Rattus norvegicus: one gene and its partners. The protein of the gene in region 6 purifies or fractionates together with the protein of the main gene of each other region. This does not show direct contact. Links are inferred from orthologs where the notes say so. Each region holds a gene or a part of one and is shown on either strand. Other genes may lie near its edges. The genes, in order: Ret, Kdr, Inppl1, Ap2m1, Lrrk1, Shc1 and Prkcd.

What was found.
Region 1: the proteins of Shc1 (region 6) and Ret purify together in Homo sapiens (affinity purification with western blotting; 4 studies listed by BioGRID and IntAct, with this or other methods). This does not show direct contact. The link is inferred for Rattus norvegicus from reciprocal best matches to the Homo sapiens genes SHC1 and RET.
Region 2: the proteins of Shc1 (region 6) and Kdr purify together in Homo sapiens (affinity purification with western blotting; 3 studies listed by BioGRID and IntAct, with this or other methods). This does not show direct contact. The link is inferred for Rattus norvegicus from reciprocal best matches to the Homo sapiens genes SHC1 and KDR.
Region 3: the proteins of Shc1 (region 6) and Inppl1 purify together in Homo sapiens (affinity purification with western blotting; 4 studies listed by BioGRID and IntAct, with this or other methods). This does not show direct contact. The link is inferred for Rattus norvegicus from reciprocal best matches to the Homo sapiens genes SHC1 and INPPL1.
Region 4: the proteins of Shc1 (region 6) and Ap2m1 purify together in Homo sapiens (affinity purification with mass spectrometry; 3 studies listed by BioGRID and IntAct, with this or other methods). This does not show direct contact. The link is inferred for Rattus norvegicus from reciprocal best matches to the Homo sapiens genes SHC1 and AP2M1.
Region 5: the proteins of Shc1 (region 6) and Lrrk1 purify together in Homo sapiens (affinity purification with mass spectrometry; 3 studies listed by BioGRID and IntAct, with this or other methods). This does not show direct contact. The link is inferred for Rattus norvegicus from reciprocal best matches to the Homo sapiens genes SHC1 and LRRK1.
Region 7: the proteins of Shc1 (region 6) and Prkcd purify together in Homo sapiens (affinity purification with mass spectrometry; 3 studies listed by BioGRID and IntAct, with this or other methods). This does not show direct contact. The link is inferred for Rattus norvegicus from reciprocal best matches to the Homo sapiens genes SHC1 and PRKCD.

The regions. Positions count from the first base shown.
Region 1 is NC_086022.1:153,019,987-153,023,755, forward strand, and holds part of Ret (proto-oncogene tyrosine-protein kinase receptor Ret isoform a precursor), read right to left. Parts: intron 3,404-3,769; coding exon 3,208-3,403; intron 2,812-3,207; coding exon 2,612-2,811; intron 808-2,611; coding exon 549-807; intron 235-548; coding exon 109-234; intron 1-108. UniProt on the Homo sapiens protein: Receptor tyrosine-protein kinase involved in numerous cellular mechanisms including cell proliferation, neuronal navigation, cell migration, and cell differentiation in response to glia cell line-derived growth family factors (GDNF, NRTN, ARTN, PSPN and GDF15).
Region 2 is NC_086032.1:32,570,575-32,575,128, forward strand, and holds the start of Kdr (vascular endothelial growth factor receptor 2 precursor), read left to right. Parts: upstream 1-1,488; 5' UTR 1,489-1,741; coding exon 1,742-1,808; intron 1,809-4,554. UniProt on the Homo sapiens protein: Tyrosine-protein kinase that acts as a cell-surface receptor for VEGFA, VEGFC and VEGFD. Plays an essential role in the regulation of angiogenesis, vascular development, vascular permeability, and embryonic hematopoiesis.
Region 3 is NC_086019.1:165,606,421-165,610,943, reverse strand, and holds the start of Inppl1 (phosphatidylinositol 3,4,5-trisphosphate 5-phosphatase 2), read left to right. Parts: upstream 1-1,495; 5' UTR 1,496-1,522; intron 1,523-2,058; coding exon of another isoform or gene 2,059-2,475; 5' UTR 2,476-2,501; coding exon 2,502-2,683; intron 2,684-4,523. Other genes in the region: uncharacterized protein LOC103691225, read right to left, coding at 1,292-1,495, 2,059-2,475. UniProt on the Homo sapiens protein: Phosphatidylinositol (PtdIns) phosphatase that specifically hydrolyzes the 5-phosphate of phosphatidylinositol-3,4,5-trisphosphate (PtdIns(3,4,5)P3) to produce PtdIns(3,4)P2, thereby negatively regulating the PI3K (phosphoinositide 3-kinase) pathways.
Region 4 is NC_086029.1:93,862,171-93,865,584, reverse strand, and holds part of Ap2m1 (AP-2 complex subunit mu), read left to right. Parts: intron 1-1,096; coding exon 1,097-1,362; intron 1,363-2,187; coding exon 2,188-2,270; intron 2,271-2,640; exon of another isoform or gene 2,641-2,654; coding exon 2,655-2,660; intron 2,661-2,817; coding exon 2,818-2,953; intron 2,954-3,085; coding exon 3,086-3,227; intron 3,228-3,414.
Region 5 is NC_086019.1:129,380,118-129,384,524, reverse strand, and holds the start of Lrrk1 (leucine-rich repeat serine/threonine-protein kinase 1), read left to right. Parts: upstream 1-1,394; coding exon 1,395-1,491; intron 1,492-4,407.
Region 6 is NC_086020.1:177,137,046-177,141,554, forward strand, and holds the start of Shc1 (SHC-transforming protein 1), read left to right. Parts: upstream 1-1,502; 5' UTR 1,503-1,710; coding exon 1,711-2,205; intron 2,206-2,764; coding exon 2,765-2,835; intron 2,836-3,319; coding exon 3,320-3,383; intron 3,384-3,512; coding exon 3,513-3,632; intron 3,633-4,008; coding exon 4,009-4,062; intron 4,063-4,347; coding exon 4,348-4,399; intron 4,400-4,509. UniProt on the Homo sapiens protein: Signaling adapter that couples activated growth factor receptors to signaling pathways. Participates in a signaling cascade initiated by activated KIT and KITLG/SCF.
Region 7 is NC_086034.1:5,775,150-5,778,748, reverse strand, and holds the end of Prkcd (protein kinase C delta type), read left to right. Parts: intron 1-2,375; coding exon 2,376-2,531; 3' UTR 2,532-3,068; downstream 3,069-3,599.

The DNA of each region.
Region 1 (3,769 bases), on a different chromosome or scaffold from region 6:
CCTTGTACGAACTCACTCCTGACGGCAGCCAGGATGGCCCCTACCCAGCTCTCCTCCCCCATCCTCCTCCCCAGCCCCATCCCACCCCCTGCCAGCTCCCGAACCTACCTTTACCATCTCCCTGACGCCACTCACATCTGCCAGTTGGAGAACCCAGGCCACCACACTCCTCACACTCAGGTCGCCTCTTGTTTACTGCACAGGACTTGGGGCAGCCCACTTCTTCTGCAATGTCTGGGAGGGACAGACAAGCCAAGGTCACTGGGACTGGTGTGGGCCCAGTCTCCAGACCTCTGAAACGGACAGAGTGTAACAACAGTTCCACTGTCCATGGGTTCTGGGGTAACTAGGGTATTTGTGAAAGGGACTGAGGCACCAGAGCCAGAGGCTCTCATTAGCTCCTGTCTGCTGAGCCCTTCTGGTAAACATAAGGACAGGAGGATATGACGGTGACCACAGCAAAGGACACCTGGTATTGCCGGTTCACACAGAAGTGTTCCCTGTGATTGTCCTTGACATCTCATCCCTCCACGGAGCCTGACACTTACATGTCCCCTCCACTGTGACGACTAACGAAGCCTGGGTCTGCCTGCGGGTCTGCCGGTCAGTGGCTACCACTGTGTACTGAAGCTCGGTACACTCAGGTCGCCGCAGGGCCTCCGTGTCATTTACATATAGGGTCCCTGAGGTGTCTTCTGTTGAGGTGACCACACCTAGGGCACTGCAGTTGGTGCTGGAGGGCTGCAGCTTGTACTGGATGGAGACACCGCTGAACTCCTGGCAGTTCTCCACGCAAACTTTCCCAATCTGGAGGGGGGAGAGGGAGGAGGAGGTTCGAACCAGTACACCTTAGCTGGATGGGCTCTTGGGTAGACCAAGTTGGGGGATGGCCCTCAACTTAGCTTGAATGGTAGTCTTCCTCGATGTCCAGTGTTCTACACCTCAGCACCTACAAGCCCACCTGCCTGGTCAGCCCTGCTTAAGGACACCAACTCGCCAGACACCCACACCACTGGGAGTCAGCCGGGATGGCCATAATCCCTGTTGTGTGTCCCCCAACCGTCAGAGCACTGTACCCTAGCTGAGTGACTGCAATGTTGTCATCTGTCCCACTTGAGGTCAAGCGGCCTCTTCAGAGGTTCTGGAAAGAGACCCCTTCTGGGGATGCCTGGCTGAGTCAGGTCCTGAGTCTTTACCTCACAGCCACTCCAGTGAGCTACGGTTGCTAAAAGCTGCAGAGGTAGTTCTGGTTATGGGGCCCTGTGTCTGTGTGTAGTGACCTAGGAGGCAGCTTCTTAAGAGCCAGGAGCAAGGATGGGGCTTCCCGAGCCACACTGACACCCTAAAAAACCAGCCTCCTGGTTGCTTCATTTTCCCCTACAAAGAATGTTCATTTCCATCTTCTTAACAGATCCTTAAAACTATCCGAGGTCCCTGGCCTCGACTTGCTCTTCAAAACTATGGAGACAATAAGGAACCGGTCACTATGAGGGCAGTGACTGGGGCTCTAGAATCTGCTAAATGCAGGGATCTACCTCCAACTGATGCCTTGAACTCCTCCTCAGGCACTTCACTCTGTCACCCCCACTCCTGCCCTGATGGTCACACCCTGGAGAAGGGCCAAAGGCTCTCTCTATCTACAGGTGTGTCCTTTGTGTGCTGGTAATGGGAGCAGTGAGGACCTGGAACCGGCTGTAAGAATTGGAACGACCACAGACACACGAGGAGACAATGCCAAACACACACCCTAAAGCCGAATCAGTTAAACCAGACACACGCGAACCACAAATGAACTGAATGCAACAGACACCGTGAGCGCATGAGAACCACCAAGTTAGAACTGCAGCAAATGCTCTCACTGGTGGTCAAGGGGTAGGGGGCACCCCCAATTCCTCATGATTTTAATTAACGCCATGACTTACCTTCCACTCTTCGTATTTTCATTTAGTTTAGCAGTGCTGAGGATAGAACCTAGTGCTTGCTAGGATGGAGACACACACACACACACACACACACACACACACACACACACACAGAGAACTACGACTCTGGTCTTCTACTTTTCCATTTCAATTATCATTTTCCAAAGACAAATCCGAACATTACCTCATGATTTCTCTAGCACATAAACTTCTAAAAGCAGGTGTAACCTCTGCCCTTTCCCACAAGGCACTACTGCCAGCCACAGTCTGCTGTACGCTAAAGTTACCCCCAACTGAAAGGTAGTTTGTGCTGGTGGAGACACCAGAGAGAGCAGTAGTCCCTCCAACCACTTTTTGCACTGAACCGTACAGCAGGAACACCTTTCTAATTAGGCATACACAGGGTTACATGGAAATGCATTTCTATTAGGGCAAAAAATGTTTTAAAGATACCAAGAAGTGAACCAGTAAAATCAGAAGGCTTGCTCCAGGCACTGATGAGGGGCTAGGAGCCCTCTAGGGTGAAAAGGTATAAACAGAGGTTCAAGGATACACTTTGGAGCCTACTATGGACCTACCTATGCTAACTCTGCACGGGTGGGCTAGTGAAGAGGTGCCACTCGCCCATACCCCTGCCTGTTGTCTTGGAAGCCCCTAATCTCAAGTCATGCAATGGGCCATGGGCTCACCTGGGCATAACGGCGGGCTCTCCTATTCACTGGGAAGGAGTAGGCCATGGGTAGGTTCAGGGTGACAGGCAGCACAGACACGTTGAAATGGAGGAAGAGAACACCTGACCCAGGCCCCTGGAAGTCTGAGTCATTGACCAGGACTACTAGCTGCAGGACTCGGCTCTCTGAGATGGACAGGCTCCTGTTGAGAACCAGCTCTGTAGGTGGGCGCACAAGGAGACGAAACAAGTTACTATCCTTCAGGACCATGCCCTATGCCACATACTACACATCCATACCAACATACAACCCTGCACACACATGTGTGTGTGTGTAAAATTAGCATGTTAAATGGGTTTGTGTATAAGGTATTTGGATAGTGTTTGTATACACAGACTGTATAGCCTGGAATGGTTGTGCTCAGTGGGACATATTTTGGTGTGTATGGAACGTATGTGACTTTCATGTGGTGTGTGTGTTTGTGTGTGTGTGTGTGTGTTTGTGTGTGTGTGTGTGTGTGTGTGCGCGCATGCACGCATGTGTGTGCGTATGTAGTATGGGGTGTATCAATTGTCCTGTAGTTCTAAGAAGACATCACACTGTCGGCTCCTTACTGTAATTGTGCATGGTTGCCCGCACGGAGTTGTTGTTGGACTGGACCAAGGTCTCGTTGGGTGTGTGCTCCACCCGGAAGGTCTGCTGGGCCCAGGAATCCCCTGAGAGTAGTGTGCTTGTGTACCGCCTCACCAGCTCCCCAGATGCTGGCACCACATCTGCATCAAACACCTGCAGAGTGGCTACCACAGTGCCCTGCAGGTAGCAGAGAGCACCAGTCAGCCCAGGTACAGTCAGAGGACCACATGACCTAGCACAGCCCAGAACTATACCAAGTACGCTTTGTTAGAACCAATCCTAGGGGGAGATGATCAGAAGCGAATGTTTGTCCCCAGAGCCTCAGGTGAGAGTTGTGAGCAAAGCCACAGGGCCGCTGGAATCACTCTAAGGTTGTCTGATAAGACATTTTCTTCCCCATACCTGCTCTCACTCCCTCGGAAGCCTATACCTAGTTAGTTCCCCGAGAGAAGCAACGTCTTTCTTACCAAGCCTAGAAGCAGGCTGCAGAGTGGCCTAATGTCCAGCAGGTGGCAGTAGCATGCCACCTAGCCGGTTGAAGCA
Region 2 (4,554 bases), on a different chromosome or scaffold from region 6:
AAAGGGAAAGAAGACGCCAAACAACTTTTAAATGGAGTTTTCATTCCTGAGAAGAGGAGCCCAGTATACACACCGAAACGTGCATAGACTGTGCATGTCCCCACTAAAAGGAAAATGCCCACACAAAACATTCCCATATTTTTTCAAGCTTAATTTCACCTTATAGGTGTATATGTGTAAATGTGTTGAAACATTTTTATAGTGAACCTGGATTTTGAAAAGCCTCCTGGGCTCGACAGCTGCGTCTGGCACCACACTTCAGGCTCAGGCAGGTTCGTGATGAAGGAGAATCACTGTTTATCTCCCTTCTTTAAAAAAGAAAAGCATCGTGTTTCATTAATGGCGCACATCGGTGTAGTTTCGGTTGGATGTAAAGACAATAATCTTATCCCTTTGTCCGGCTGAAAGACTGTCCTTTAAACTATCATTATAAATGCCAGGAGTAAAAGTTGTTACAAGGTATTTATTGTCATTTCCTAGGCGTGGAAGGAATGGAAAGAAAGCCACACAGTTGAAAAAAACTGTTCACGCAGGGACCGCTTTCGCTTCTGCTCCCACAGTTGACACCCCTGAAAATGCTCCCTTCTCTCCCCCCAAGCCTATCTTGGCTGAAAGGTCAGCTTTGGAAAGGAACCTGGCCAAAGTTTCTGTAGGGAACCATGGCCATGGAGCTGGGTAGACGAAAGCACTCTAGCAGCCACTGGAGGAGGATAGGCGCTCTTCTCTGTGCAGCTGCCCTGGAGCCCTGATCACCCTCAGCAACCTGGATCTCCTGCTGCAGTTATCTGGACAAAGCCAGGCAGGAGTTCACAACCGAAATGTCTTCTAGGGCTAGGCAGGTAACTTCAAAAGATCTAAAGTTGCCAGATGGACGAGAAAACAGTAGGGGCATTGGCAACCTGGATAAGAGCCTATCTTTTAATTAAAGCGTTCAAAGGGGGCGGGGGGCAGGGGCGGGGGGCGGGGGAGTTAAAACTATGGCTGCACTGGCCAGAGCACCATTAAACAAAACTTCCAAGTACTGACCAACTCACTGAAAGTTGGTGCCCCAGATACATCTAGGTCCAGGGTTCCTATCTTCATGCTCCAACCTGCAAGCGGAGGTTTGGTCCCTTGGGGCTCTCAGCTGCAGCAGGGAAGAGAGTTCTGCACTTGGAGGCACCTAATGAGGGCGCAGCCGGTCTTGCGTTTCTGGTGATGCTTCCCGGGTTGCTGGGGGGCAGCAAGTGTCTCAGAGCCCCTTATTGGCTACATTTTACTTCCACCAGAATCCGAGCTGCGTCCAGATTTGCTCTCGGATGGGACTTGCAGCCCGGCACAGTTCCGGGGTAGTGGGGGAGTGGGCGTGGGAAACCGGGAAACCCAAACCTGGTATCCAGCGAGGGGCGTGGCCGGACGCAGGGAGTCCCCACCCCTCCCGGTAATGACCCCGCCCCCATTCTCTAGTGTTTAGCCAGCGCTGGCTCTCTGCACTGAGTCCTCAGGACCCCAAGAGAGTAGGCTGTGTCTCCTTAGATCGCCCGGAACGCTACTCCGCACGACTGAAAGCCCAGATTGTGTCCTGCAGCCGGGATAACCTGGCTGACCCGTGTCCGCCGACACTGCTGCAGCTGCGGCTGGAGCCAGGGCGCCGGTGCCCTGCGCTTTCCCAGGTTTTGCACTGCAGGAGCGCGTACCGCTTCTGTGACTTCTTTGCCGGCCAGGGACCGAGAAAGCATCTGTGCCCAGCGCGAGGTGCAGGATGGAGAGCAGGGCGCTGCTAGCTGTCGCTCTGTGGTTCTGCGTGGAGACCCGAGCCGCCTCTGTGGGTAAGGAGCCCACTCTTTAGAAGTAAGGTGGAGCAGGGTGCGGGCGGAGAGTGGGGATAACAGAGAAGAGGACCTAACTCGGAGAGCTCTAGAGACCCGTCCTTTGGTGTTCTTTCACTTACCAACCGGGAAACTGAGGTTCAAAGACTCTTCCGAAATGACTCAGCCAGGATTCTAATCTCCCCCGGGCTCTGGCTGGAGCGTGTCCTGCGGAGCCCACAACCCCTGGCGCTGGGTAGGCGGGAGTGGGAAGGCGCCCTGCGCCGGGGCAGGAGATGCTCCCACTGGCAGGAACAGGCAGTCAAATGCCGGGAAGCCAGTGCAAGCCGGGCGGCCTGACTGGCATCGAGCACGCAGGCTGTTGCTTGCTGCCCTGAGTGGAGCAGGGAACCAGCCTCCCGCTCCGCTCTGCTTTAGCTCCAGCGGGTAAGCTCACTATGTGCGCTCTTCACAGAGCAACACTTTCCTACCCAACTTTCTTTGGTGCAGAATGCCACTTTGCTGGCAGGAGGAAGCGGCTTCTTCTATGGTAGCTTTTCCAGGTATCTTAAAGTAACTCTCCACTTACTACTCCAAAGTGTTTGGTCCTGGGGTAAACTCTGAGTTTCTGAAAGTTTCAGAAACTCTTTAGTTTGGCACCTAGATATAGGCCATTTTTACTGTTTAAAGATGCCCTGTGTTTCAAGGTTAGGCTCTCACTCGCTCTTGGGCTTTTGTGCAACCCCTTCCCTTCTCTTCCCTCCTTTCCTTCCCCTCTTCTCCTCCTCATCCTCTTCCTCCTCTATTTCTCTCTCATTTTCTTTTTGTAGCCACAGTTTGCAGATTTCCCAGACTCCATCCATTGGAGAATGGAGAGTCAGAAAAAAAAAAAAGTCAATTCTGCAGAAACATTCCTTATATCCGAAGAAAATCGCATGCCTTAAAAGCACTGGCGCTGACGTACAGCGCCAGGATCATCTGTCTACAGTTATTGAATCTTCCTCATAATGACTTGGTTCACCAGGCTAACTCCATCATGGGTGCCCATTTGTTCCTGACAAGGCCTCACTCTCCCGCTTTCTGGGACGAGAAAGGCAGCCTAGAACACGTGCTTGCCCTGGGTCCCATAGCGAAGTGAGTTGCTGTGAAGCCTGGAGTGTTCCTAGTGTAGCAGTTTAACAGTAGCCCGTTGGTTGGTTCCCTGAATTAAACGGAGGTTGCCCTTTTGGAGTGTGTGACTTTCTTAATTGGATTGGACCATAATTGGTGCCATCGGAGTCTAGAGACAGAGCCGCTGTTGTTTTTCCTTCTGGTCTTTGAGTGGGAAGGATAACAGTGCACAAATTAATTAATGTTGGTTATCGGATTTGAACATAAAAGGGCTTTTATTGAGTAGCAGCATATGTACCTCTTACAGTAAGAAGGAGCTTTCTAAAGAACAGAACCCAAACTTGCCATTGAAAATGAATGAGGTTTAATAAGGGGGAGAGGGATCATTAGCCATTGATGTAAATCTCCAGTTATCGATAACCTCGTTGACTAGATTTGATTGCAGACACATCCCTTGGATACTATGGTGCTGTATTTGGTGTCTCGGGAATGGGGCATCTTTTACAGATGAGCAGAGCTAATGCGCCTGCCCTCTAAGAGCATCTATGGCTGTGTGTTATGACAGAGACAGTAGCGCGGCTCTGAGTGGCTGTAGCGTGTTGATCAGCGGTAGAGCGCTCAGGCTCTGCATTCGCTTCCCCACTGAAGAATAAAGGTCACTTACTGTGGTGGTAGAGTGGGCGCAGCTTACTACCACATTTTCCTCACCCATCTGCCTGAATAATGGGTTCACCCCATGAGTGTAGCCAGTGATTGTCTTCAGGTTAATGCTGCTCAGTCATGTTTAAAATCTACTTATCAAACAAATTGTTTTTATCTCCCACTTCTCAAACAAAGTAAGATTCCATCATTCAAAGGCTTGTCTATGAACATTTTAATTGCATGCCTATGTTAGGGACAGTAACTTCTTTGATATGGACAAATATTATGCCGGTTAATTGAATATAATTGCTCAGTTCTGTAGCCGTCTCGGGGTGGGGGGGACCAAGAGCACCTGTGATACAGTCACTTTCGATGCCATTTAAAAACCCCTATTTGTTGGTCTAGGAATAAACACACCATGAGGTTCAGACTCACAGTCCACACACGAGTTATTAACAATGCCAACTAACTTCTGAGATTCATTAAATGCCATTTAATTTCCAGCGTTTGAAAAATGTTAATTAATGAATAAATCCACGGTTATATCAGCAGCATATGTACATCCGGTTAGGTTGGGTGTATTCAGGGTGGAATTGCTGTAGACCGTTATGCACATCTGTGCAGGTGTGCGAGAACCGCTACAGTCAGTGAACGGCCTGCTCTGCTTGTTCTCAGAGGGCCACAGTGTCACGGCACCGGGTGTTTGCCTTGGCTGTTTGCTCATACTGCATTAGTGGCCTCATATTTGTTCCCGCTCACTCATTTGCCCAACACTGTCAATGCCAGCTGAGGCCTGAGGAGTCATCTGTTCTTAGTCAGGGTGGCTTAGAAAGCCTGGAGCCCTGCCTGGTATTAATTAGTTATTCTTTTTCTTTTGAGACAGAGTCTCACTGTGTGGCCCAGGCTAGCCTCGAACTTGCCGTCCTCTTGTCTCATTCATCAGAATGCTGGGCTTCCAGGTGTGTGCCAGCACGGTAGGCAGCTCACGTCTTGAGTGGAGAGTGGAAGATCTTGA
Region 3 (4,523 bases), on a different chromosome or scaffold from region 6:
ACAGGTGTGGAAGTCAGAGGACAACATGCAGGAGCTCTCTTCTTTCACTATGTGGGTCCCTGGGGTTCCACTCAGTCTTCAGACTTGGCAAAAGCACGACCGGTTAAGCCATCTCACCCCAGTGGTACATTCTTTAGCATCTCTGTTCTCTCAGGAAACTCTAAATATATTGATTTTGGAGGGTTGTGACAGCTTTTCTCCTCGTCTCTCCTTCCCTCTCTCCCTCCCTTCCCCACCTCTCTCTCTCCCTCTCCCTCTCCTTCTCCTCCCTCTCCCTCTCCCTCCCCTCCTTCCCCTCCCTCCCCCTCCCCCTCTCTCTCTCTGCCTTGGACGGTCTGAAATTCTAGAACAAGACCAAGAAAGCTGGCTTACAACTAGGTAGAGTTTCACTTGCTTCTGCCTCCTGAGGGTCCCGAATACAGGCATAGACAAGTAAGACCCCCATTGCACACTCCCGGGATCTGGGGTGATTTCTGGGTTTCCTGTGTCCTCTAGTCCCCGCGGGAGGAGCTGGGTACAGATTGTTATTTTATTTAAGCCCTGGCAGGACCTGGAGAAACAGGTAGGCGGGTCGAGGATCTCTGTTTTTGTATTTATCTGGTCTGGAAGGTCCCGGTAGACTCATCACGTCCAGGCTTTGTTCTAGCTGGGTTAAGCCAATGCAAATTGGCTTATCCTTTAAACGTAGGAAAACTCCTCAGGGCTGACCCCAGGCTCGGTCAACAGGTTCAATTTACCAAAGCGAAAGTTCTCTCCCAGGTTAAAGGGATGCTCCTAACAAGACTCTAGTAGTTGCTGGTTGTAAGAAAGCGGCTAGAGGCCTGCGCCTTTAAGGAGCCAGGGGGCAGAGGGGCGGGGCAGGAAGAGAAATCCTTGGAGACGCCAACACCATCCAGGTCTTTTTTTAGGGGGGAAATGGGGCGGGCCAGAGCCGGCTTGGGATCCGCCCCGTCTTCTCCCGCCGGGTCCCTTTTTCCGCCCCAGGGGTAGGTGGATGGGAGGTCCTAGCAGCCTGGGTGTCGGGAGCTCCCTGCTCGCACCTGGTCCAGCGAAGGCGCAAGTTTGTTGAATTGGAGGGAGTAGCCGGAGCGGGGGCGGTGCTAATAATACCCGTTCAGTCCCCAGTCGCGCTTTACAGTTTACACAGCTGTCACCTTCGTTACTCCTTAATTAATAATAAAAATAGCCGCCGTCCCGGAGCGCACGCTGCGTGCCAGGCCTGGAGCTTTACAGGCAGAGCCCCAAGGAGCCCGCCCTCGTAACGTTACCCCAGTTATCGAAAGCGAGAAGCTCAGGCGAACCGAAGAGCCAAGATTGGCCCGAGGTCACTCTGCGGGCGTGCGGCGGAGACCCGGACGCGGGCAGACGAGGCGGGGCGCAGGGCAACCCCGGCTCCGGGGGGCGGGGCGCAGGCGGGGCGGAAGGCGCGGGGTGCGCGGTGGCGGCGGATGGCCATCTTAAGTGGCCGCGGGGAGTCCAGGGAGGCTTCCCCGGGCTAGGAGTCACCAGAGTCGCCCCAGAGGTGGGGGCCTGCACTCGGCCGCTGAGGCGTTGGGACTTGAGGGAACTTTTTTTCTAGGTAGTCTAGGGGGTCCTCCTAGTCTGGGACTGCAAAACCTGGGCCTGCGGGTGTGGGTGTGGTGCCAGGCAACTTGGAGGAGATGGGGGAAGGGTTCTGCCAGGCTGGAGGGCCTGCGGGGATCGGTGCGTGAAAGGCTTAAAGATACTGGACCTCGTGCGCGCGCGTATGTGTGGGGTGGGGTATCCGATCTTTTTGGAAGGGATCTTATGAGATGTGTCAGGGATCGGTTTTGGGGGTTCAGTTCTGAAGGGGCTCTGATCTTACAGGAGTTGGGAGAACTTGTTCTCTTGGATGATGGGGTAGTAGTTGTGGATGTCTATCCTGGAGCCTTCCTTTGCGAACCGCGATCCCGCAAGTCTGTGGGGGTGCCGAGTAGCAGAAATGTGTAGTAGAATCAGACTTGCATAGGGATTAGGGGTCATCTCCTTGAGAATCGTTTGGAAGGGTTGAATTCACCAGGGAGAACTCGGACTCACAAGTTGTCCCGTAGCGGGTACTGGGGAACTGGATCTAATTGAGGTGGGGGACAAGATAATGTGGAACTTGGGAGGTTCGGGTCCTGGAGGGCTGTCGGAGTTTCGTCCTTGGCGAGAGGCTGGGGGCAGGGGCGGCCCGGGCTCTGGGCCGAGTCGAGGGGGAGGGGACCGGCCAGCTCCTTGCTCCGTTCCCGCCCCTCCCCCGCCGCCTCTGAACAAACTTTTCTTTCTCTTCAAGTTGAGGCCGGCGCTGCTGGCGGCGGCGGCTGCGCGGAGATCGAGGCGGCCGGCGCGGCCAAGCGTGGACCCCGGATACTGGGCTCTCTCAGGCTGGTGGATCCTCAGGCCCGGAACCCGGGCCCAGGCCCAGCCTCCACTCCAAGCTTCCCTGGGCGGATGGCGCGGAGCGGCAGGCATCGGCGGCGCTGAGCCCTACGCGGGCCATGGCCTCAGTGTGTGGGGCACCGAGTCCCGGGGGCGCGCTAGGCAGCCAGGCCCCTGCCTGGTATCACCGTGACCTGAGCCGCGCGGCTGCGGAGGAGCTGCTAGCTCGGGCAGGCCGCGATGGCAGCTTCCTGGTGCGAGACAGCGAGAGCGTGGCGGGGGCCTTCGCACTCTGCGTCCTGTGAGTAGGGCAGGCACACTCAGAGTGTTCCTTGGTTGTGGTGGTAATCCTGGTAGTGGGTTGACTGTAGCTGTGGGGCTGCAGCTCTGTCTCCACCGTGAGTGGAGACCTTGACTTTATCGTTGGGTGGAGGAAGGATACAGGGGAGCACTTCCTGCTGTGTCTGGAGCACTTTCTGAGGCCTGAGGCCAGAGTTCTGAAGCCCAGGGTGGGTGTATGGGAAGACATTAAGGCAGACGGTGGCATACCAGCGTAGACCCCCCCAGTGTCCCAGATGCACAGGGAGAAAAGGATACATGCTCCATGTGAGTGCAGATTGTTTTAAAGCACTGAGTGGTAGGCAGTAGGGAGCAAAGGGACCAGTGTTTGGATGCCGGGGCAATTCTGCGGCTATGATTGTAGGGTGGAGTGGAACAGTGTGTGTTGAGAGGAAGACTTGGGGGAGGCAACAGGGAGAAGCTATGTGGGACAGAACCTTCATGAATCAATGAGCAAGTCTCTTTTGGCTCTGGATTGAGCTCTGCTTATCTGGCCAAGGCTGAGCCTCAAGGTAGACTTGGCCGCTTTCTGAGTGGGCCTGATCCCGTGGCTGTACCTGGCAGCTGTGTGTGGTAGTGGGGTGCTTTCTGTTTTGTAGTGTTCTTTCTGACCTCTGCCCCCTGCCCCACAGTTCAACAGTGTGTGTGTGTGTGGGGGGGGAAGCATCAGGGGCTTCTGTGTTTAGATTTAGTGAAAACACTCTCAAATGACCCATTTCCTCTGTCTTTCCTCCTTTCTTCTGACACCTTTGGGCATGCACTGGCCCAGCCTACAGGGAACAATTTTGATTGTCACTCTTGGGATGGGGCTGTGGGCATTTGGTGGATAGAAGCCAAACCTACTGCTACAGATTTGACGGTACCTAAGACGACAAAGGAATTGGGGGTTCCAAAGGCTAGAAGGGTAGACATTGAGAACTCTGGCCTAGACAGTTGACCTGCTGAGGGAGAGATCCTGTAAACCTCAGCTTCTGCAACAAGTCCAAGACCCACCTAGTGTGGAGAGACTAAAGCCAGACATCTTATGTCCATGAAAATCCCAAGACTCCTGCCTCCTAGCTACCTCTAAACAGATCCCTTAATTAGGGAGGGGACAGGGGCAGGTGCTGGATCAGCTGTCTGCGTGGGAGGGGGACAGCTGAGGCCTCCTCCGGGTAAGGAACTATTGTCCCAGTGAAGAGATCCTGGTTCCATTGTCAGGAGTGTGGGGTTTGTGTGTGTGTGTGTGCGTGCGTGTGTGTGCATGCGTGCGTGTGCGTGTGCGTGTGCGTGTGTGTGTGTGTGTGTGTGTGTGTGTGTGTGTATGTCTTTCTGTATTTATAGGGAGGCAGATTTCAGCTCTTAGGAGCCTGGCAGAAGGGATCAGAAGTAGGTGGTTTTTTAGGTTTCCCAAACACATGCTTACCTATCTACACATTACATGTACACAAAGAACATTTAAGACACACCCCTGCCCTGACAGACAAACTGGCTTCTCCTCTGGTATTAGATACCAGCCAGCCCTACCTTTTAATTGTTCTGTGACCTTGGACAAATCATTTTTTTCCTTTCTGACCCCCAGTTTTCTCATCTGGAGAACGGAAATATTATTGTATATACTATCCAGTGTGAATATAAGCATAACACAGGGTTTGGTTACTGGGATGTTCTTGTTGTCATAAATACAGACCCAAATACCACAAAGTAATGTACCCTGAGTAAGATAGGGCTAGCTTTAGGGAGAAAAAGACCTTGTGGTGTTTGGTCCTCTCTGGAGCCAACGCCCACTTCTGCCCAGCATAGACAGAGACCACAATGCCTAT
Region 4 (3,414 bases), on a different chromosome or scaffold from region 6:
TGCAGCCTCACTTCTCTCTCTGCTTCACGCTCTGGCCTCCTCCACTGTATAACCTGAGGTTAGGCTCCTCTGGTTCTTCCTACCTTGGTTATCCCCCCCCCCCAAAAAAAAAACCCTTGAGATAAATAGAGACTTCTGATAGCTCTCCTACCTTCTTGCCTCCCTGGCTGATGGGCTAGCTTGGTGTGGCTGTATCCATATATATATATATTTTTTTTTTTTTTTTATTTTATTTTTTTTTTTTTTTTTGGTGGTAAAGCTGACCTAGATTTTGTGGCAGTGCCTAGCCTAAGTAAACCTGGCTGGTCCATCCCTTCCTGCTCCTCCCACCCTGGATGGTCCTGGTTTATGCCACCGCTGGGCCACATGACACCCCGCATGCCTTAGTGTGCTCTCTACCTGTTGCCTGTCTTGTCCGCCTCTCCCTCATGCTCTGTGCTGCCCACCGTGGTGTGTTGTGTGTCGTCTAACCCTCTCTCTCCTTGCTGTCACTCTCCTCTCGCTGACGTCATTTCTCTCATCCCATCTCATTGGCTGATGTAGCAATAGGTAAGCAGCCTGTGAAGCTGCCGCTCAGGTACAAGTGGGTTGGGGGTCCTCCCCCCTCCAATTGTTTTCCTTCATCATTTTTTATTCCCTAAACTTCAGGAATCAGACCTTAGAGAAGAGGTGGGTGGCATAGTCCACAGCCCCTCTTCCCCTTTAGAGCAGAGTCTTCTTGAGGTCATACAAGTTTGTCCAACTACCAGAGGAGTTGGCTTTTCCCACTGGTGGGCCCAGTAGAGATCTCCTTCTCTTCAGGGCCTGGAACTTCTGGAAAGCAGAGAGGGGACATCTTGGGTGTATCTGGGGAAGTAAAGACAGGGCTAGGGCTCAGTTTATTAACACTATACGCACCCTTCCATAGTTACCATTTGACTCCCCCTTCAGGAGCAGGCCAGTGCAGAACCTTCCTGACCCTGCTGGGGTATCAGAGGGAAGCCTGTAGAGAGGTCAGGTTTCGGTGACGTGGAGGGGAGGCCGCCAGCAGCTGCAGGTGATCCTCATGGGGTGAGGTCTGCCTAAGTGCTGACCGCCTCTGCGTCTCTTCCCGTAGGAGGAATGCAGTGGATGCCTTTCGCGTCAATGTCATTCACGCACGGCAGCAGGTGCGCAGCCCTGTCACAAACATCGCTCGCACCAGCTTCTTCCATGTTAAGCGGTCCAACATCTGGCTGGCAGCAGTCACCAAGCAGAATGTCAATGCCGCCATGGTCTTCGAATTCCTCTACAAGATGTGTGATGTAATGGCTGCTTACTTTGGCAAGATCAGCGAGGAGAACATCAAGAACAATTTCGTGCTCATATACGAGCTGCTGGACGGTGAGGTGTTTGGGGACCGATGGCCGCGGTGGGGACTGACCCAAAAGGGAGCAATCTAGAGCTCGCAGCACACTCCGAACTTTATTGCTTGAGTCTGTGACCTCTTAGGTGATGAGCTCTGTGTCCCTGATGCAGCCAGTCTGAATCCATTCCTAAAGATTGTTTTAGAGTAGAACTCAAAAATAGGCCAGCGGGTGCGGGGAGGAGACTTTGGCCTTCGCTGGGCTAAGAACCTGACTGAGTGAGATTTGGTGGCTGAGCAACCATCTTCACAGACAGAGCCAGCTCTCATCTCCACTCCTCCAGGGCCTGGAGAGGAAGTCCTAGATAGTCCCTTGGCTGTGCTCTTTTCTCTTGTAGCATCTGTAACTACTTCCCTTTTATCACCATCTGTTTTCTGGAGAAAAGGAGGGCTCAGGGTTTTTTTTATCCTCTTACCCACTGACCATGTGACTCTTCTATGAATTTTTTTTACATATGAAAAACATATTTTCTCATGAAGAACAAATCATGCTGAATGCTGGAAGCTAGAAAACCTTGCTGTAGATATAGACAATTCTGCACAGCCCCAGGATCTGTGCTCCACAGGCATATCCAGGCCAGAGGAAGGATTGGAATGAAGGAGCCTTCGATTTCTCCAGAAGCTAGTAGTTCCCTTCTTTTTGTTATTGAAACAGGGTTTCTCTGTGTAGCCCTGTGGTATTGGAACTGGCTCTGTAGACCTGGCCAGTCTTGATTGAACTCAGCCACCTGCCTCTGCCTCCTGAGTGTGAGGATTAAAGGACTATACCACACTGCTAGGCTATAATTCCCTTCTTTTTACAGAGATTCTGGACTTTGGCTACCCACAGAACTCAGAGACAGGTGCACTGAAAACCTTCATCACCCAACAGGGTATCAAGAGTCAGGTACTTAAATTAATTGTATAGAACAGAAGTAGGGTGGGCCTCAAACTCCTTTCTTTCCTATGATGCCCAGCCTCATTCTAGCTGACTCATGAGCTTGCCCTTGACAGGAAGTGCTAGCCTCAGCCTCCTACCATGACTGCAGGCCTCTTTTGCTCTGGATAGCTCTCCTGCCCCAGAAGCTGCCAGCTCAGCACCTCTATTACGAGGAATACAGCTCAGTTGGTTTCTTCTCCGTGGAGGGTGTGGGTGTGGCTGCTCTGCAGGCCTTGTGTTCCTCAGAAGAGCACATGGGCTTTCTCCTCAGACTCAAGCCTCATAGCTCTCTCCCTTTGCTTCCTCACCACGCTGCTTCCTGTTGCACCTTGCTGGCTCTGCGGTCTCTAGCATCAGGTAAGCTGTTCCTCGTGTTTCTCATTGCAGCTTCACTCGTTCTGTAGACCTTGCCGAGTTACAGAGTGATGAACAGGAGGGAGGCTGATGTGAGACCCTGGGGAGAGGGTCATGGGAGGGGGGTGGTGAGGTCATCGGCCACCTTTACCTCATTTAGACAAAAGAAGAGCAGTCCCAGATCACCAGCCAGGTGACCGGGCAAATTGGCTGGAGGCGGGAAGGCATCAAGTATCGTCGGAATGAACTCTTCCTAGATGTTCTGGAGAGTGTGAACCTGCTTATGTCCCCACAGGGTGAGTGTCTTCTCATGACGAAACCGGTGTGTGTGAGGAGACGGGGGGCGGGGGGGGGTTGGGGAGGGGGTGAGGGTGAGTCCTGGCCTGCCGGGTGGCTCAGCTGCTCCCTGTTCTCTGTTCTGTCACCAGGGCAGGTGCTGAGTGCCCATGTGTCGGGCCGGGTGGTGATGAAGAGTTACCTGAGCGGCATGCCTGAGTGCAAGTTTGGAATGAATGACAAGATTGTCATAGAAAAGCAGGGCAAAGGCACAGCCGATGAAACAAGCAAGAGGTACCTGAGGCTGGGAGGTCAAGGGACACAAAGATGGGCGAGCCTTTGAGAGTCCAGTGAGGCCTAGTGGACTCCAGCTTCCCTTTGGAGTTCATTTCTGCTGGAGTTGCTAACTGTCTCCCCAAGTCCTCCTTGTCTGGTTAGTCTTGGCATCGATAGTAAGACCGTCTCTGTCCTTGGAGAGCAA
Region 5 (4,407 bases), on a different chromosome or scaffold from region 6:
ATATAAATGTTAGCAGTGAATTAATCCAGCAGCTGCTTTTCCTTACCTTATACCAATAATCACACAGGAAAACCAATATTTATTGAAAACTGTGCCTCAGTAGATGAGCAGTAAATGCTCTATCTTTACTTTCTATGCTAGTGTGGCTCCCTCCCAGCCCCACCCCATGATACTTGGATATTATTATTGATCTGGCTCTTTGGGCCCCTTTTCCATGGCTCCAATTCCTCCAGTCACTCACTGCTCTGAGTCTCCCTCTCTCCCTCCTTCCCTCCCCCTCTCTCCCTTCTGCCTCTCTCTCTCCCCACCTTCCTCCCTCCCCACCTTCCTCCCTCCTCCCTCCCTCCTTCTCTACCTCCCTCTCTCCCTCTCTCCCTCTCTCCCCCCCCTCTCTCCCCCTCTCCCTCTCTCCTTCCTCTGGCTGGTGGACATCCTGTCCTGCCCTGTTCTCTCTTCTGCCCAGCCATTGGGTGATCAGCATTTATTGACAAGGCAGAGACTAATTGGTAAGAATTGTTTACATAAACTTGAAACAGGAGATTCTTGGTATAAGCATTATAATACTGTGTCCAGATTAAAACAAGATATGAGGGCAGAGAAATCAGCATTGGAATGACAATGGGTGACCTTTACACCGTGCACAAAAACACTATGCCTTCATTTGACCTTTACTCACTATGAGCCTATAACACCCCCTCCCCCAAGTTGTGACAACCCAAAATATCTCTAGATATGGTCAAATGTCCCCTCAGAGAGAGGCAATGTTTACAGGATTCATTTGATGTCACAACCAGTAACAACTCCTTCTAGACTCCTTTTCTTTGGGGCCATTATCTGGCTGTCACTTGGAGCAACCATAGGTATCAGTCCTGAGCAAGGGATGGCCTTGCACCGTGAGCAGCCGTGCGCCCACCCTACCCCACCTGAAGTGTTAATCCTCCCAACGGGAGCCTCAATTTTGCTGTTTGGGCGGCATCAGGGTCCCATACAGGGCCTGGCAGAGACAGTGCAAGAGACAGCGGTTAAGTGTGGAGTGAACGACAAATGGGCACAGCCAGTGAAGCTCAGTGACAGCTTTTAGTTTGTTTTCATAGAGACAAGATCTGGGCCCAGTGTCAAGGTGGGATGGGAGGGGTCATTGTCCTTTCAGACATGTGGACTATGGAGAAATGTGCAGAGAAGGGGGGAAGCCAATGACAGTGGGGAACACCTACAAGGGCTTGCAAGAGAGGACGAGTCTGAAAGCCTTCTAACTCGATGTCTTTCTCCACCAGGACGAGCGTGTGTGTCTGCGGCACCATGAGCAGGTGTCCGTGCCTTAACCCATCTGCACAGTGGCAGTTGTGGTGACAACAGCAACACTTTCCTTTGGAGATCTGCTGCCTGGAGGGTTGATGGCTGCCGTGTCACAGCGACCACCCAGTATGTACTGGTGTGTGGGGACAGAAGGATCAGTTGTGTGTCCAGGGCCTGCCATGGAGACCCATAATGGTAAGTGGTACGTCCACAGGGACTGTGCTGTGCTTGGTCTATAAGGAGCTTAGGCTCCCTAAGAACAGGTATTTTCAACCAAAGAAAATAAAATTAGGATTATTTGGTGCTTTTTCTATATCTTGGGATTCTCACTTAAATTCCTAAAACTGAGAGGTCATGTACAAAATTTATTATGCTTTCAGAGATTTTAACATCATATAAGTTAAGGGATTTTTTTTTAAAAAACCGAGGATTCCTTTTTGTTTTTACACTATAAAAATGCTTGCTTACCAGAGAAAAACTGAGAAGAGAAAAAGAGAAGTTATAAAAAAGAGGTTCACCTAGTATCTCCCTGCGCCAACAGCATCACAGGCGGTGATGTGCCTGCTCCTTTAGTCTGTTTCTCTGTGGTTAAGGACTTGAGTTTCACACTACAGCAGTGGTTCTCAACCATCCTCAAGTTTCAACCCTTTAATACAGTTCCTCATGCTGTGATGACCCCCCGACCATGAAATTACTTTTGTTGCTGCTTCGTAACTGTAATTTTGCTACTGTTATGAATTGTGATGTGAAAATCTGTTTCCCGATAGCCTTAGGTGACCCCTGTATAGAATAAAACATGCTTCAAGATGGCCAAATTCTTGATACTGGCATGAATGGTTTTGAAGAAAAAGGCTCACACTTTAACTGAACACATAGTTTAAACTCCAGGGTTCTTTGGAAATGGTATCTTACGCCTTGCATTCATGGGTGTCCTGCGTTTTTGCACAGCCCCTACCTAGCTTGACTTGTATGTGTTTAGGATGGTTTCACAGCTCATAGATTTGCAAGCACAGAGCAAACTGCGGCATCACCATGAGTCTCATGAGGATGTCAGAGGGGGGCTCTGAGAAGGTGGAGGAGCCATCTTAGAGAGACTCGTGCATTTCAGATGATTGGCAGGAGGAGCAGGCAGCCAGCCCTTACCTCTGCTAGGCCAGAGCTGCTAGAATCTAGAACGAGACAAATTCCTTTGCCAAACATGACACGTTCTTTTCTATGCCCAGACCAGCTAGAGTGGAAAAACCTGCTCTACCAGTTAAGGTGAGGCACCCGGAGAAAGTACATCAGCTAGGAAACTTCCAGATAATTCAGCCTTTCCTACACAGCTGAAGGTATGGGGAGGTGCTGGAAGAGACCCATCTTTGTGTGAGGGTCCTGCCCTTGTCCCTGAAAGATGTGAAACAGCTACCTACCTCTTAAAGCACCGTTAACTGCCAGCCCAGCATGAACCAAAGAAGATGGAACATCCCAGAGGGGCTTCAAATCCCAGGTTGTTACATGAGTGTTTGAGATCTCTTCCTCCTCCCCCTCCTCCTCCTCTTCCTCCCCCTCCTCCTCCTCTTCCTCCCCCTCCTCCTCCTCTTCCTCCCCTCCTCCTCCTCTTCCTCCCCCTCCTCCTCCTCTTCCTCCCCTCCTCCTCCTCTTCCTCCCCCTCCTCCTCCTCTTCCTCCCCTCCTCCTCTTCCTCCCCCTCCTCCTCCTCTTCCTCCCCCTCCTCCTCTTCCTCCCCTCCTCCTCTTCTTCCTCCCCTCCTCCTCTTCTTCTTCCTCCCCCTCCTCCTCTTCTTCCCCCTCCTCCTCTTCTTCCTCCCCCTCCTCCTCCTCTTCCTCCCTCTCCTCCTCCTCTTCTTCTTCCTCCCCCTCCTCTTCTTCTTCCCCCTCCTCCTCCTCTTCCTTCCCCTCCTCCTCCTTTTCCTCCCCCTCCTCCTCCTCTTCCTCCCCCTCCTCCTCTTCTTCCCCCTCCTCCTCTTCTTCCTTCCCCTCCTCCTCCTCTTCCTCCCTCTCCTCCTCCTCTTCTTCTTCCTCCCCCTCCTCCTCTTCTTCCTCCCTCCCCTCCTCCTCTTCCTCCCTCTCCTCCTCCTCCTCTTCTTCCTCCCCCCTCCTCCTCTTCCTCCCTCTCCTCCTCCTCTTCTTCTTCTTCCTCCTCCTCCTCCTCTTCCTCCCTCTCCACCTCCTCTTCTTCCTCCCCCTCCTCCTCTTCTTCCTCCCCCTCCTCCTCTTCCTCTTCCCCACCTCTCCCTTCTTCTTCTTCTTCTTCTCTTCCTCCTCCTCCTTTGGCTTTTAAAAATACACATTAATTATCTGTCATGGTACTATAACCACATCGTTTGCCCAAGTGGGGACTCATCATGCCTTCCAGGAAATAGATTGTAATAGGAAATGCCTCTAACCTGTTAGCCTGTATGCTTCGATCTGTGTGCAGTTGCACTTGCTGGGATGTGTGGGGTGCATGTACTAGACAGGTGAGTGGGGCCACCCTCTCCAACCAGAGTACAGGGGCACCCTGAACCTCTACCGGAAGCAGTCGGGGGTCAGGTGGGTGGTGTCTTACTAAGTGAGCTGGTAGGTAGTCTGCTGGGTCACGGTCAATTCATGCAGGTGGCTAGAGCTACACTTCATTCCTACAAAGCAGAGCTGGCTATGTGACCCTGGGCTAAGTGAGACTTGTAACATTTACCTTAATCTGAGATCGGGGCCTCACTTCGGGCAATAGGGAACTGACTAGCAAGCCAATGATTTGAGGTTTTCCTAGGAAGTGGATGCTCTGGATTCTATCCTGCTGTTAACTAGTTCTGCCCAGTAGGGCAACTCAAATCCCTTCAGTCCTTCCTTTGGGAACTAAATGCCCCCGCTGCTAAAAGCCAAAACCTGGCTCTCCCTGCTGATTCCTTCTTAGGCCAAGTCTTCCAGGTGCAGTCCTCATAACACATTCTGCTCCCACAGTGCTTAACCTCCTTCTCACCTCAGGCTGTCTGTGGACCAATCCTTAGCCTGTGGCTTCCTGGGTGCAAGGAAAGAACAGCTCCCACCCCTGCCTGTGTGTGGGCTAAGGAGGGTTCCTACAGGCCCTTTCCCCTTTCTGAGTGGCCAGAATCAGAGCTGGTGGCTTACTC
Region 6 (4,509 bases):
TGTGTTTGTGTGATTGGGAGTGTAAGGCTATGGCAGATTTTTTTTTCCTCTTGTGCCTAAGAGCTGAGGTCTTAGCAAACGGAATGACAGAATTTCTTTTAAGGAAGAGGCGTGGTGTTCAGTAACAGCTTTTCTGGGATGGGGACTAAGGACAGGTGAACGAATGAAGCATGATATTTAACCTGCTTTAAGTGCTACTACTTAGGAGACAGAGGCAGGTGATTCTCTGTAAGTTTGAGGCCAGCCTGAGCTACAAAGCAAGTTCTAGGGCAGTCAATGTAGTTACACAAACGAACCCTGTCTTGAAAAACCAGACAAACAAAAAAGTACCTTTTACTTCTTGTGTTTGGTTACTTTTTAAAAAGTGAATAAAGCTATAGTTTAATCCGGAGCTATTTTGATTGGTCACTTTCTTTAACTTCCTGAATGGCCTTCAGCAGAGCTGTGGCAGGAAACTGTGGGCAAAGAAATAGGGGTTTGGTATTATTATGCACTTATGGCCAGATTCCAGCTTCTGATATCCCTTTCTCCTTCCTGTCTTTATTAACACAGATTTGTTTATGGCCCTATTATCCCTTTGTGGCTTGTAGGCACCAGTTCTGTGTGTTTCTTTCTCCTACCTCCAAGGCCAACTCCTCTACTAGTGTGAAGTACACTGTCTGGTGGGGTGTGTAGCCTATAAGGCGTAAAAGTATATCTGTAGGTCTAAGGGGTGGCCAGATCTCTATATCCTCTGGGGGCTTTCCTCACTAGGCCTCTGGAAGAGCACCCCCACCCCCAAGTCTGTTGGTCCTTGGTGACTTGTAGAAACAGCCTTGCTCTAGCTCTTGTCTGGTAGCTCCCAGATGCACCACCCGAATTAGCCTTTATTCCTATTTCAGCTTTGTCTTTCCTCTGGGCCTCGCAGTACATCCACTGGGACTACTTCCCTTCCTGGTTCTCAACTCTGGTCCTCAGCTGTTGGGGTGGATGCTAATGGCCCAGGTTCCCTGGAGCTACCACCTCACTCACTGTATGGTGGGGGTGGGGGTGGTCTGGGCTAGGGGGTGAGGGATTCACGTCTTCAGCCGGGTCTGGAAAGGAAATGCTAAACTCTGAGGGACAACTTCCCTCCCCCCACTCCCCGCCCAGCAGCTTCTGTTTCCTTCCTATCCCTCCCAGTCTTCCCGGTCTTCCTGCTCTCTTTGGCTTGCCCAGGTCTGTTTGGATTGGTCCAGAGTTTTCCTTAACTCCTTCCTTTCTTTTTTCTCTTTTGCTTATTCTTCCTTTCTTTCTTGCCCGGCACCTCCTCCTTCCCAGACAGATCACTAGTTGTTTGTATTGGGCTGGGGAGAGTGGCCTGGCTAACACAAATTATGTGGGGAGGTGTCTCAACCCCTCTGAGCCTGTGAGTCAGCACTGTCCTGGGGATTGGTTTCTCTCCTTAGTTCCCCGCCCCTGGGGAGGAGCCAGTCAGCTCTGGGTCCAGCCTGTACTCCTCAGCCAGACGAGGTTTCCTAGCTGGGCTGGGCCAGGATGTGGTTTGAAACTGTCTAGGTCTGAGTTGGGAGAGCAGAGGTCACTTGTCCTTCGCCTCCCCAGGTCCTCTGTTATCACCCGGCTGCCGAGGTCAGACTAGGCTAAGGGTCTGGGGATGCCCCCTGCCTGGCCCCCTTGCCTGAATTGGCAGGGGGGCCGGGCCGGGCAGCAGCCCCCCTTCTCACCCCAGCCATGGATCTTCTACCCCCCAAGCCGAAGTACAACCCACTTCGGAATGAGTCTCTGTCATCGCTGGAGGAGGGGGCTTCAGGGTCTACTCCACCGGAGGAGCTGCCTTCCCCATCAGCCTCATCCCTGGGACCCATTCTGCCTCCTCTGCCGGGGGACGATAGCCCGACTACCCTGTGTTCCTTCTTTCCCCGGATGAGCAACTTGAAGCTGGCCAATCCTGCTGGGGGGCGCCTGGGACCTAAAGGGGAGCCAGGAAAAGCTGCAGAAGATGGGGAAGGGAGTGCAGGAGCAGCCCTTCGGGACTCAGGCCTCTTGCCCCTCCTCCAGGACATGAACAAGCTGAGTGGAGGCGGCGGGCGCAGGACTCGGGTAGAAGGGGGCCAGCTGGGGGGCGAGGAGTGGACCAGACACGGGAGCTTTGTCAATAAGCCCACACGAGGCTGGCTGCATCCCAACGACAAAGTCATGGGACCTGGGGTTTCCTACTTGGTTCGGGTGAGTGCATATCCCCTTTTCTACTCTCCCCATACCCCTTCCAGTTCCTCCAGATTTGTCGGGACTTCCTGCTCTTCCCCCTGGAACATCTGTGCCATTCTCTTAGTTCTTAAACCTGGTGCATTCCTTCTCCAGTTCTCTGCCCTTAATTTAGCCTGCGAATCTTCTGCCTTTCCTCCTTTGGTCCCCACTCCCCAGTTTACACAATGCTCAAGCACATCAGAGGCTTTTGGTAAAAGTTGAATGAAAATGACTTCTTGATTCTTCCCTTTAGACTCCTCCTTTTTCCAGAGATGTCACTCCATCCTACCCAATACCTGCTACTCCTCTCATAATGTCTCTGTGGTGCATGAAGTTCCTCTTTGCGGTCTTTCTTTCCTCTTTCCCCTTTCCCCTTCACAGTACACCTATGGGGTGGTAGCCCCAGGCAGTAGGAAAGCTACTTCACCTTTACTTTCCTTAGGGATAAGGCAAAGCCCTAGAACCTTCTGCAAAGGGCTGGCAAGTGTGGGGTGGGGGATGGGGACAGCTGATCCATTCTTCCCTCCTTCCCCTACAGTACATGGGTTGCGTGGAGGTCTTACAGTCAATGCGAGCCCTTGACTTCAATACCCGGACTCAGGTCACCAGGTTAGTGGGGATTGAAGTTACAGAAATCTCAGCCAGGGAGAGGAGGAAGTTGGGCATTTGGTGGTGGTGCTGATGGCGATTTCTCGTGGGTGGTCAGAGAACTGAAAGTTACAGAAGTAGTTCTGACTGGAAGGAGCCAGCTCTGGTGTGGAGCACCACCTCACCTAACTATCCAGCCTTGGAGACTGTGGGAAGATGGACTAGAAAAGGCAGCAGGGGTAGGAGGTTGCTGATGCTTTAGGGAAGGAGATGGAACATTCGGGAGCTGGGAAGAGGTGGAGCTGCAGCCATTGAGGCCCTAACCCAATCAGCCAGGAAGCGGCCCCTCAGTGTCATCAAATATTAAAGGCCCTTAATTCAATCCACCACGACAAAGAGCCTGGAGTGCTCTGGGAATCTGGCCTGGTCTTCCCTTCCCCCAGCTCTGTGGCAGCCCTAGCCAGGGGGAGGCCCATGGTGGGTCTGAGTACTCCTGTTTCTCCAGGGAGGCTATCAGTTTGGTGTGTGAAGCTGTGCCTGGTGCCAAAGGGGCGATGAGGAGGAGAAAGGTATGTGTGGTTGGTGTTGGGGCTGGGTGATTGGAGGCAGGGGAAGGCATGTGCAGGGCGTGTCGGGAGAAGGTGAGTATTTCCTTATGCTGGGAAAACTCAGATTCTGAGACTCTGGGCCCTTCCTAGCCCTGCAGCCGCCCACTCAGCTCTATCCTGGGAAGGAGTAACCTGAAGTTTGCTGGAATGCCGATCACTCTCACTGTGTCTACCAGCAGCCTTAACCTCATGGCAGCAGACTGCAAACAGGTGGGTAGGCTGCTCGAAGGAACCAGGGATAGTTAGTTATGGGAGCATCAAGTGGGGATTGGAGGCCAAAAACTTGCAGTCTTCAGGAAGAACTGGAGAGTAGAAGAGGAAGAAGTTAGGAAGGTTGAGTATAGTGATACCTTTTATCCTAGCACCCAGGAGGCCAAGGCAGAGGAATCTGAGTTCTAGTCAGGGCTACATAGTGAGACCTTGTGCCTCACCCCACCAAAAGAAGAAAGAAATTAGGAGAATGCAGGGTAAAAGGCCAAGAGAATGATCCCGGGGCTCCAAGGTTCTATGCTGGGGTGGGTTCACGTGGAGCCCTGAGGCTGCCTGACCTTTACCATTCCTTCCTTCTCCACCCTGCCCTCATCAGATCATTGCCAACCATCACATGCAATCTATCTCATTCGCGTCTGGTGGGGATCCGGTGAGTTGGGGAACAGAGAAAAGACGGGTGGGGAAGAAGAAACTAGGGGCTGAAATGATGCTGGCTAGAGGCTGGGAGTGGTGGCCACACAAGAATCCCAGCACTCAAGAGGCAGGATAGCCAGGGCCATGCAGAGTAATCCTTCTTGAAAAACCAAAAGAGGGAGGGAGAAAATACTGGCTAAAGAAGTGGTGCACAAGGATTGTGAAATATGTAAAAAGGACAGAGTTAGTGGGTCAGGAGGTAAACTCTAGCTAACTGGCCTCCTGGATCTGCCCTCCCCAGGACACAGCTGAGTACGTTGCCTATGTTGCCAAAGACCCTGTGAATCAGAGAGGTGAGGCGTGGGGGACAGCACTGGGTGGGACCAATTCTCTGAGAAGCAAGTGATCAGTTATACTCGATAGGGCTATCCTGCTGGGAAGGGCTGGGGTGGGGCTCCTGCCC
Region 7 (3,599 bases), on a different chromosome or scaffold from region 6:
AGGTCTCGTCTGAGACAGACAGACCAAGAGACAGGACCTTACTGTGGGTGCTCAGTCTGACTCAGAACTCTTGACTTGTTATCCTCCTGCAGACACACACCACCATGCCTGCTATTGGCCATTTTTCATAATTAAATTCTTCAGTACCCTGTGTCCCCAGAGCTGTATTTTGGCCACTAGAGTTAGGGCTTCGCTTCCATCCTCCATCTGTCTGTTCCTCAATCACAAAGGACGTGCCGAGTCCTTGTTGGGTGCAGAGCACTGTGCTTGGCTTTAGCAGGGTGAGAAGAAGTCCTAAATCCTGATGACCCCAGCAAGATGCCGGCACACTGGTGACACTTGTGATGGAGGGCAGCAATATGGGAGATGTCACAGGGCACACAGTGTGGGTTGCTTCCGGGAGAGAAGAGCAATAGGAACCAGGATTGCAGGGACCAGAGTGGTCTGTGAGGATGCTTCGAAAGAACTGATATATGGGAGTAGGGCTCAGCTGTCAGGTAGAAAGCATCCAGGTAGCGAGCTGTTTGTATGTATCGGGGCCTCATCCTCAGCAGCCACGGGACTGGTTGAGATTGGGAGATGATGTCACTGGGAAGCAGGAACCTGCTCAGAGCTCTGTGATCAGATGCTCAGTGGAGACAGGCCGGTCTCAACTTCAAGACCAGGCGTCACAGCAGCATCCTGGCTTTTAAAAATAAGTTAGGGCACAGTGTCCCCTTTGTGGTCATAGTTCCTCCTCTGGCTGCCTTTTCTCTCACTTGCTTTCTGTCCTCTGTTGGTACATACTGTTCCCACTGGGCCATCTCTGTAGCATGCCCCACATTTGTGCTTTGAGACAGCAGAGCCCTTCCCGATGTGGGTCTCACAGTCAGAGGCTCCCTGACCAGGGGGATAAGCTGGCCCAGCTTTAAGAGCAGCGCATGGCTCTTGCTCTAAGAGGTTTCTTCCTCCACACGCTAGGTGTGTGTGGGGATGAGCGGCCTCTGCCCCTGGGGGCAGGGCAGGTATGTGAGCAGGGCAGTGGGCTCTCAGCCCTAAGAGCTGGCCTGACAGGAAGTGAGCCCAGGGGGTGTGGTGTAGCTCAGTGACAGGTCGGTGTCCGTCAAAGTCAAAGACCAGAACCAGGCATGGTAGGACATAGCTGTGACCCCAGGCCTTGGGAGGGAGAGACAGGAAGAGCCGGGGTTCAGGGCCAGACTCAGTTGCCTGAAACCATCTTGAAAGAGCAAAAACAAGAACAAAAACCAGATTCCAATGTTTCACCTATCAAATCTCTGGCCATAGAGTGAGGCCTGATGTCTCTGAGCCTGTTTTTCTGCAAATGGAGTAGTAGCGATTCTCTCTGGGACTCTGATGTATGGTAAGAAGAAAGAAGGACGTGCTCTTTCTCCCCTAATCCACCAGTTCTCAAAAGAAGCCAGAAATCTGAAGTTCTGTGTTAAACAATATTGCTTTAGAGCCTATGGACCCCAGCACTGAGGGCGAGACATGTAGTTCCACTGTGGAGCTTAACACCAGGCCTCCTGATCCAATTCCTAACAGTTTACCAGACAAAGCATGCTAGCCCAAATGCTAGCTCAGGTGCTAGCCCAAATGCTAGCTCAAGTGCTTGTACCTTCCAGCTCAGTGTGGCCCAGAGTTCACCGGAAGCCCGTTACCATCTTATGCAGTCCTCAGGGGCAGTGAATTAGGAACTTTTCTTATAAACAGCCTGAGAATAAATATTTAGTTTGCAGGCCCCTCTCTCAGTGCAGCCCCACTCCTTGTTCAGCAGATGAGTGCGGCTGTGTAGTCATAAAGCTTGATTTGTGGGCACAGACATTTGCATTTGACTTCATTTTCATATGCCACTGGATAGTCTTTTCTTCTCCCATCCATTTCAAATTGTAGAGCTGGACTATGAGTGGCGGTGCTCAGTGGTTCTAGTGTCTGAGAGGGTGAGGCAGGAAGATCATGAATTTGTAGGCAGCCTGGGCTATATAATGAGACCTTGTTTCAAAAATACCAAAACTAAAACCAACCAACCAAAAATAGCAAATTCTTAGCTATTCTAAAAAAAAGCTATTCTTAGCTCATAGGCCTCCACTGAGAGCAGATAGGAGATGTGTGGCCTGCAGGCTGTAGTTCACTGACCCTGTTCTGGAGGATGTCCCTGTCCTTACTTACCCAGTGCACCCTGCCTCCCTTCCTCATCTCTTGGGGAAACAGCGTTCCCCTGTGATGGGACTGTCCTTGGGTTGCTGGTGACATCCTCTTTCCCCGTTGAGTCGACTGCCCTGGCTAGCACGACAAGGGTCCAGAAGCCTGGGTACCTGGCATGCCTTTGAAGGCAGACATTGGAGACACTCTGACCCCCTGCTACTTTTTGCTCACAGAAATCCCCTTCAGACTACAGCAACTTTGACCCAGAGTTCCTGAATGAGAAACCCCAACTTTCCTTCAGTGACAAGAACCTCATCGACTCTATGGACCAGACAGCCTTCAAGGGCTTCTCCTTTGTGAACCCCAAATATGAGCAATTCCTGGAATAGTGAGCTCCCAGACCTGCTTTTAATGCCCCGGCAGAGTAGGCCCATCTGCCCTGGTTTGCATCCGCACTGCCCATGAAGAAGAGTGGGTGACTGGTGATTCCTGCTGCTGCCCCCTCTTCCTCGGAGAGTCTGGCTCCTGTTGGCTGGGCTCACAGTACTTCCTCTGTGAACTGTTTGTGAATTTGCCTTCCTTTTGCCATCGGAGGGAAACTGTAAATCCTGTGTGTCATTACTTGAATGTAGTTATTGAAATATATATTATATATATGCACATATATATAATAGGCTGTATATATTGCTCAGTATAGAAAGCATGTAGGAGACTGGTGATGTGTTGACCTTTTTTTAAAAAAAACCATATGTATACGTGTGTATGTATACATCTACACACGTATACATATATGTATGTATGTATGTATGTATGTATGTATGTATGTATGTATGTATATATGACCAAAAGAAAAAGAGAGCACAAGCTACCTGAACCACAGGATTGTTTATGTGTGTATAAATAAACACTGAATGGTACCAACCTGACTGTGGGGACATTTATGTCCCAGGAAGTTGGTGGCAGGTGCTCCTGCCACTGTCGACTGCAGTGGCGTACCCCTGGGTCTTCATGCAAATGTGTTTGTGTTTAGGGGGTTCTTTTGCTCCAGGGCCCCGGGACTGCAGGAACCACAGATGTCACCGCGGGGTCATGGTAGAGGTGAGACTGGTTGTAACCTGTCTCTGGGTAGAGAGGGCCAGCCCAGAATTCAGAGAGGCAGAAAGCCAGGCCTGAAAGTCGGAGCAGGGCACACGGCTGTGCGTGTGTCCCAATACTAGTGTTTGCTTAGTGTGCGTAAAACTCGGTCCCATTTCCAGCGCCATCACACGCATGCACGCGTGAGGGATGTAGTTCTGTTGGTTGAGCATCTGCCTCGAGTGCACGCGGGAGGCCCCATCCCAGCAGGGTATAAACCTGACATTTGTAAACCTGACGTATGGGAGGTGCTAGCAGGAGGATTAGGAGTTTAGGTTCATTCTCAACCACACAGAAAGTGTTGAGGCCAGCCTGGGCTATAA